Linked DNA regions of Arabidopsis thaliana. The protein of the gene in region 2 purifies or fractionates together with the protein of the main gene of each other region. This does not show direct contact. Each region holds a gene or a part of one and is shown on either strand. Other genes may lie near its edges.

Region 1 (3,924 bases), on a different chromosome or scaffold from region 2:
CGACGATGCTTATAAAATTTGGAATGCCCTTTAACCAAAATTGCAAGTGTTTCATCAAAATGGTTGGTTTTTAGCCTCGTACAGATCTTTTAAGGAAAATATAGTAAGTAGCTAGCGATTACAACGATTGCTGCTTCTAATTCATTTTGCTGATGAGATCATTGATCTTATCTTCGCGGTTTCCGGTATCTCCTCCTTCGCTGAAAACTTGTTTCTTCCGGTGCAAAACATCAGCCACAGGCTTGTTGAGTTTCAAGGGTCCCAAGAATCTCATAACTTCTCTGAAATGATCTCCGACTCTTGCTATCTCATTCACAAGGTCTTCTATGCCCAAGATTTTGTGTTCTCCTAGAGCCTAAGGTAACAAAAGTGGAAACGATTAAGAACAGCATGGTTATTATCTGGAATAAGCTCCTATACTTTTAAGAGTAGGAAATTTTACCTGTTCGATTATATTGTTGTCGGTAAGAGGAACAGGATTTCCCTCAATGATTGTGCATCCCTTTTTGTATATAAGGTCCTTAACACTCTTATCATTCGGGTATCTTCAAGAATCGTAAACATCGGTTAGCTCATACGAGAATAGAGAAACAGCATGGAAATCGAGTAACAAGGAAATATTGAAAGAGGATTGATTGTCTCTACGTACCCATAAGTGACATAAGGCTGCACTTTGAGAAGCTTTTGGAACAAACTGTCAGTTGCTTTAGCAAATACACCAGTAAAGACGCTCTTTAGTTGCAAATTGTTAAGAATCCTCTTGGTCTTTGGGTGCATATCATTCTTGCTGGTCACCAGAAAGAAAAGGCAAGGATAAGAAACAGGCAGAGATAAAGATTAAAACTCCAGGGGGAAAACAAAGCTAATTGGAGAATATCAAATACCCTTGAATGCGTATGATGAAAACCAGGTCAGATTTAACTGGTGGAGGAGATGACTTTGGCCTCTTTACTCTTTGCTTCATCCGGATCATATCTACTTCCTTAAGTAGGGATAAAATTAGCAAAAAGGGAACAGTTAAATTACAGAGAACAATGCAGGATTGACAGAAGAAACAACAAGTCCTAAGCACAACCTTGCAAAACTAGGGAGAAATCTCAAAGGAGAAACACAAAATTATCTGTAGAAAAGTTACAGTCTAAGAGATAAGTGACAAAACCTAATCATAAAGGTTGATGTATAGCTTTAATTTAACTCAAAGAATAAGCAAAAACAAGTTCTTCTAAGGTGTAGACAAAAGTCAAGAAGCAAAAATCAGAACTTGAGGCAGTAAAACGAATGGAAAAAGACAAAGCAAAAGTTTTTCAGAGAATCTGGAAAAAAAGAAGTGTACCTTAGCCCTGAACTCATGAACAAAATCTTCAGGACGTTTGATATCAGAGACTTTCTTCTTCTTCTTGCCGGAATTACCCAACTCAAGTTGCTTCTTCCTGATAAAGGCAAGCTCATCTCTGTTCTTCCTCTTCTTCAGTACTATCTCCGGTATGTAATCCAAACCCTTAGCTTCTTCCTCAGCCATTATCTCTCTACTCTTTGCTTCTACAACACAAAACAGATTGTCAGATTGAATTTTTTTGCGAAAAAAGTTTATAAACAGAGACTGAACTCAACCCTATAAGAAAGTGAGGCTATAGGGACACCAACAGAATGAACAAGATAAGAAGAACGGAAAAGGGGGAACAAATTTACCGGTGGCGGCAAAGCAATTGGGACGGCGGCTGAAAGAATTCCAAGTCGAAGTTGGTAGCAATGGCCGATTTGAGAAGCCTAGGGTTTATTAACTAAAATCTCTTTTGTGTTATTAACAACTTTGCCACCAGACCTAATTACGCTCCGGGCCAGACTCATAATACTATTGGGCTAAAAAAGCCCAATATTTATGGGCTTATGTAAGGCCTTACTGCCTTTGAATATACCTAGTTTTATTTTATAATATCTTGTGTGATTTTGTTTCTTTTAATTACATGGGATGCATAATTTCTCCATCACTGGTTGATTCAATTCAGTTTTTATTTTATTGACATCATCAGAAGGACAAATCATGAAAACGTACGTTGAAGTTGTGAATCGTTTAGTTACCTTTTGGTTTGGTCTTAGTTTGATTGCTACTTTCAAGAGGCCAACAAAGGAAGATGCTGCATGTGCCTTAGCTACATATATAATCTGTCGGTTATTGTTATAGTTCTTTTTTTTAATATGATCTTTGAAGAAAAGTCAGGTTTCCAATGACTTGAACAAGAGAAAAACTTTTACAAATTGGTTGTTTTTGTTACTCCATCTTCGTTGTCTAATGGTGCTAACCTAAACTTGAGAATCTTGTGGAGTTTGGCAACAGGTTCAACTGTCTTCTTCTGTGGCGTCTGGTTATCACCTTGTGCAAACAGACAAATGAAGAAACCGCAACCCCAAATCAGCATCTTGAAGGGACAGAATAATTACTTGAAACAATAACATGTGTTTCCATGTTTGATAATAAAGAGGAAAAGTGAAACTAACCTTTGTCAGAGAAAGCAAGGCATGTACCAATCGTTGCTATATATTCTCCTACCTGAGAGATCATCAAATCTAACACGATTAAGAATGGTTTAAGCAAAAAGAGTAACTGAACTTGGAAAATTGTACTAGTTGCAAGTAAGAGAATTACCAGCTTCATTTTGCCATCTATGGTCAACACCGGATTCAAAGTATCCAAACCCTATGAGAACCAAACAAAACCAAACTTATAAAACAAGAGAATGCAAAAAGTGAAATGAAAGAATTGGATTGAACTAACTGATAAAGTATAAGGAGCATCTGCTGGAATGTCAATGTGCCTTGAAACGTCATCAAGATCAATCATAACATGTTCATCCTCCATCTCTGTATCAATGTGTTTATTAGGGTGGAGAAGAACACAAAGATATTTATGAATCCTAAAACTTTCTCACTTTCTGAACGCGATTAGATCCAAGAAATTATCATTCTTACATCTCCTAAACAACAAATTTATGTTGAGAATGGTTCACCTCTTTCTTTTTTTCCTTTCAATCTTTCGAGCAAATTCGAAACCCTTCTTTAAGTGAGGGAATCGAAGAACAAGCCTGATGAAGAGGAAGAAACAAAAAAAAAAAAAAAGTAGATCAATTGGTTTCTCTGCTTCTTCTATGTGAAAAATTTGCTCTGTTATGAGATATCAAATTTGGGCCGAATATTATAACGTAAAAGCCCAACCGAAGGAGTGGGGACATTATTTGGGTGAACCAAATCTTTCACCATTATATGGGCTTGTGGGCCTAACTGCCTTCGAATTTACTTAGCTTTTGCGAATGAATGAATAACACTAATAAAAGCTGGTAAGTGGTGATCATTGACCAGAGTTTCGGTCGGTCGGTGGCAACTGAATTACGCAAAATCGAACCAATGTTCGTCGAGAGATCACGGACGTACCTAGCACCTCGGATGCTCAATAACAGGTTTTGTCTGTCTTTTGCTTGGTCTTAATTCTTGTTGGATGGCATCACGTAGGATTGAAGTCTACGCAATAGAATTTGAAATCTTGAGATTAAAAATCATAAGAAATAAAATGGTTCCAAATGATTATAAAGTCAAAGATAAACCAACAAGAAAGAGCTAGACAGTTTAAGCCGCCATTGTTTGAGCATATAGCTCTTGCTAACCCAAAAAATTAAAAGAAAGTCTAGAAAATGAAGTATGATTCCTAAAGATAGTTTCATCATGACGACTTGATGGAGACTGTCAATCAGATTTGATCCTTTGCCTGCATGCATTCGGGATACTTGAATGGCAGCTTGATTACTGGTTCATCATCCGTCAGTCCTTGACTCGCCATACCAAAGGCATATCCTAATGCAACCCCTACAGGAACTGCCACAGCATTCCCAACCTGGATGTACCTACAAAATTTAGATTCAAACCCAGTTTTTA
Region 2 (3,924 bases):
CTTTGCTCTCATCATCATTCTTAACCGAAAGAAGAGAAAGAATGTTTCTTTCTATATGGTTAACCAATTTGTTCGATTTTTGTGTTTCATCCATTGTGTTGTAAGAATAGAGTGGTGTAATTGATTGCTGAATCTGAAATAAAATTGATATTGTGATGAAGAGAAACTGGAAAATAAGAAGTTTTAGAAAAGAATTTTTAAGAAGGGTTTTGTCTTGCGCTTAAAGGCTGTTTGATTATATATGAACACAAGAAAAATCTCAACAAAAGTTTTGTTGTTGTTTGTTAACTATTGAAGCCATTGTAATGGCTGTTGTTAAGTGCACGGGAACGATTTAGGATTTATGTAAGCAAAAATAGTTCGTAGTTAACAAAGTTTGACCACCACTCTTTTACCAAAAAAACAAAATTGACCACTCCACCACTTTTAGCAAAAAGTAAGTAATCTCGAGAAGGAAAAAAACAAAAGTCATTAGTATGGGTTAAAAACTTAAATACATGTACTAATCAACAAGAAAATAAATTTGGTGATTTTATTATATAAAGTATGGTTTTCAAAGTTGCTAACTCATAGGATTGTGCCACGTGTCAAGTCAAACGATCAGATGTTTACATGTGTCATTCAAAATTTAACTTTTTAATTCTCTAAAAAAATAGAAAATCTTAAAAAGTAAACAAATTTACATATACTAATTTATATGTCTATATATTTATAAACAATTAACATTTATTCAACAAAAGGAAAATTAACAAATTTGTCTTTAACTCATGTAATCATAAGTGAAAATAGAACATTTTGAGAAAAATAGCTTAGCTTACAGGACTTAACTTTTCAATTATTTTTATTTATTAATTTTAACTCATTTAATATTAATTTGCATGATGTAAAATTAACTTACGAGATTACGGCATATATAGAAAATATATTTTCAACAATGTTTGGTTTCTAAATATTTTTGTGGATTTTTTTTATATTAATTATTAGCCCTAGGCGTTTGGGTTTTCGGGTCGGGTATTTAGGGTTCGGGTTTTCGGGTTTAGAAGTTTAGGACCCGTTCGGGTAATTTAAGGTTTCGGGACATTTATTCAACAAAAAGAAAATTAACAAATTTGTCTTTAACTCATGTAATCATAAGTGAAAATAAAACATTTTGAGAAAAATAGTTTAGCTTACAGGATTTAACTTTTCAATTATTTTCATTTATTAACTTTAACTCATTTAATATTAATTTGCATGATGTAAAATTAACTTACGAGATTACGCCATATATAGAAAATATATTTTTTAACAATGTTTGGTTTCTAAATTTTTTTGTGGATTTCTTTTTTCTATTAATTATTAGCCCTGGGCGTTTGGGTATTCAGGTCGGGTATTTCGGGTTAGGGTTTTCGGGTTTAGAAGTTTAGGACCCGTTCGGGTAATTTAAGATTCCGGGTCGGGTTCGGGTTCGGATTCGAGTTTATTTATATATTGAAATATCAAATTTTGTGTGCAAATCTATTAAATTACTTGAAAATTTCAAAAATTCCCAAAACAACACGAGTAGTTTTGCTTGAATATATCTAAAATGACACAAAAATAACTAAAATATCCAAATAATCCTAATATTTTCTATATATAAGTATAAATATAACTAATATATACTTATATTTGAAATATGTTTGGATATCTATTCGGGTTCGGGTTCGAGTTTTTCGGGTTTTGAAGTTTAGACCCGTTCAAGTATTTGAAAATTTTCGGTACACCCGCCTAAATAGGCGGGCCTTATCTAGTGTTTATATAAAAGATAAGAAAAATATTTTACTCGGTTCAGTTTGATTATTTCAATTTTCTTTGGTTTGGTTTGGTTTGGTTTATATAAAAGTATAAACAGAGGCCTGAGCCGGCCCATCTTAAAGATCCAAATGCTTTGGGCCCAAAATTGATCTCTTCTCACTCGTCGAACCACATATTTCTCTGGTTTGAGTAGCCTCGGTATGATCTAAACCGGAAAAGGAGGTCAATTCCGTAATTTTAAATTTCCTTAAACCCTGTGCCTGGGTGAAATTTCCACACTTCATCGCCTCAAGGCAGAACCCTAATTTATCTCCGCGTCTTCTTTTTGCTCAGTAACAGGCCATCGGAGAAGTTAAGAGGCTAAAATGGATATCGACGGAGAAGATGTATCTAGAAGACTTCACGTTAAGTTCGTGACGAAGCTTGACTCTCCCTTCAAAGTTCCGGTCAACTCCGTCGCAATCCCTTCTAATGTCACTCGTCTCGGCCTCTCTTCCATCGTCAATTCTATTATCGAATCCGGTAGCCTTTTCTCTCCATCTCTCCCTGCAGTTTCGAATGCTAGTATTTATTCGTCTTTGTCTTTAAATTTGTCAAATCCTAAGTGTTACTTGGAATAGTGGTCTCTTTCTCATACGAGAGTTTGTTAGGTCTGCTTAGGAACTTGTTTGTACTTATGAATTAGAGAGCTTACATAAAAGCATATATTATTGTTCTACCTGTGATTATGCAATATTCATCACTGAGACTTTTTGGATGAACAGAGAATCCAGAGTGGAAAACTGAGCCGTTTGATTTCCTTATTGATGGGGAGCTTATTCGGATGTCACTCGAAGAGTTTCTTCTTGCAAAGGGAATATCGGCGGTAATGTGTTTCATCTTAATCTTCCACTATTCACACCAGCTAGTGTACTTGGAATTAGTCCATAGTGCTTTATCTTGGAAACATATACTTAATTAAGTTCATTGGTTCTTACAGGAGCGTACTCTTGAAATCGAATACATAAGGGCTGTGACACCACGGAAGGAAGAAGAACCCTCCTTGCATGATGATTGGGTCAGTGCGGTTAATGGTTCTTCTCCCAGGTAATATTTTTTCCTACTGCATTACTTTATGATGTAGAATTTCCTTTAAGCTGCTAGATGTCTTTTACTATTTCTTCTGTGACACCAGTAATTTGAATTAAAAACTCTTATTCATTTTTACGCACAACCACCTTGCCATATGGAAAATCATAGACCTGTATCTTTGTTTAATATATTCGACTGCCATATCATATGTTGTTAGAATTAGTCTTCATTTGTTCCAATTCAAGGCCATCCAGTGATCCGGATGATATCTAAGGATGAATATAGTCATTTGTTCTTGGTTTTAATGATTGTGTTAGTGGTTCTCTTGATCTCGCTGTTGTTATTTGCAGGTTCATTTTGACTGGGTGCTATGACGGATTAGGAAGGTGATCATTTGACTTATTTATTTAATCTTATATGCTTTTGATTATTTTCTATCCTTTTGTATTGCTTTCAAAATTTGCAAGAATCTTAGATTACTTGGTTTTTCTTCTGATCAGGGTATGGAGTTCGGCTGGATCGTGTTCACACATATTAGAAGGCCACTCCGGGGCTATCTCCTCTGTTGCTTTAGTTAATTCCAACGGTATGACCATCGCATGAGAAATCTATACTATGCCTGTTCTGTACTAGCAAATGATACTAACAAGAATAAATTTTCCCTTTTTTGGCTCATTGATCAATTCTTTGTTTTTCTTTGTGTTGATTTGTGCATCCAGATGCAGAAACTGTTACTGTAGCCACTGCCTCTAAAGATCGGACATTGAGATTGTTTAAGGTAATCACGGATGAGATATCATACTTAAAACCAAAGGTTTATTTTACGTCTAAGTAAAGATATCTCTCCCTGTCTGAAGTTTGATCCAGCTGAGTCTGTTGACTCTACTACGAAAGTAAGGGCATACAAGATATTGCGTGGACACAAGGCGTCAGTTCAAAGTGTTTCAGCTCAGAAATCCGGAAACATGGTTTGCTGTTACTCCTTTCACTTAACTTGTGTTTTGCAAGTATAATTTTGTTGCTATATTTCTTCGAGCTAAGCTGACCCCCTTTTTTTGTTGTATAATGGAATTTAGG

Evidence for each region.
Region 1: the proteins of AT5G15550 (region 2) and AT1G80750 fractionate together in Arabidopsis thaliana (co-fractionation; one large-scale study listed by BioGRID). This does not show direct contact.

Annotation. Positions count from the first base shown.
Region 1 is NC_003070.9:30,346,647-30,350,570, reverse strand, and holds AT1G80750 (Ribosomal protein L30/L7 family protein), read right to left. Parts: upstream 1,902-3,924; 5' UTR 1,690-1,901; intron 1,540-1,689; 5' UTR 1,520-1,539; coding exon 1,334-1,519; intron 983-1,333; coding exon 885-982; intron 788-884; coding exon 650-787; intron 546-649; coding exon 443-545; intron 356-442; coding exon 137-355; 3' UTR 7-136; downstream 1-6. Other genes in the region: AT1G80745 (Transcription factor TFIIIC, tau55-related protein), read right to left, coding at 2,250-2,371, 2,497-2,548, 2,645-2,695, 2,774-2,857; CMT1 (chromomethylase 1), read right to left, coding at 3,740-3,893.
Region 2 is NC_003076.8:5,060,221-5,064,144, reverse strand, and holds the start of AT5G15550 (Transducin/WD40 repeat-like superfamily protein), read left to right. Parts: upstream 1-2,000; 5' UTR 2,001-2,141; coding exon 2,142-2,298; intron 2,299-2,540; coding exon 2,541-2,641; intron 2,642-2,755; coding exon 2,756-2,862; intron 2,863-3,197; coding exon 3,198-3,233; intron 3,234-3,347; coding exon 3,348-3,433; intron 3,434-3,566; coding exon 3,567-3,625; intron 3,626-3,704; coding exon 3,705-3,815; intron 3,816-3,923; coding exon 3,924-3,924. Other genes in the region: AT5G15560 (uncharacterized protein), read right to left, coding at 1-94. UniProt on the Arabidopsis thaliana protein: Required for maturation of ribosomal RNAs and formation of the large ribosomal subunit.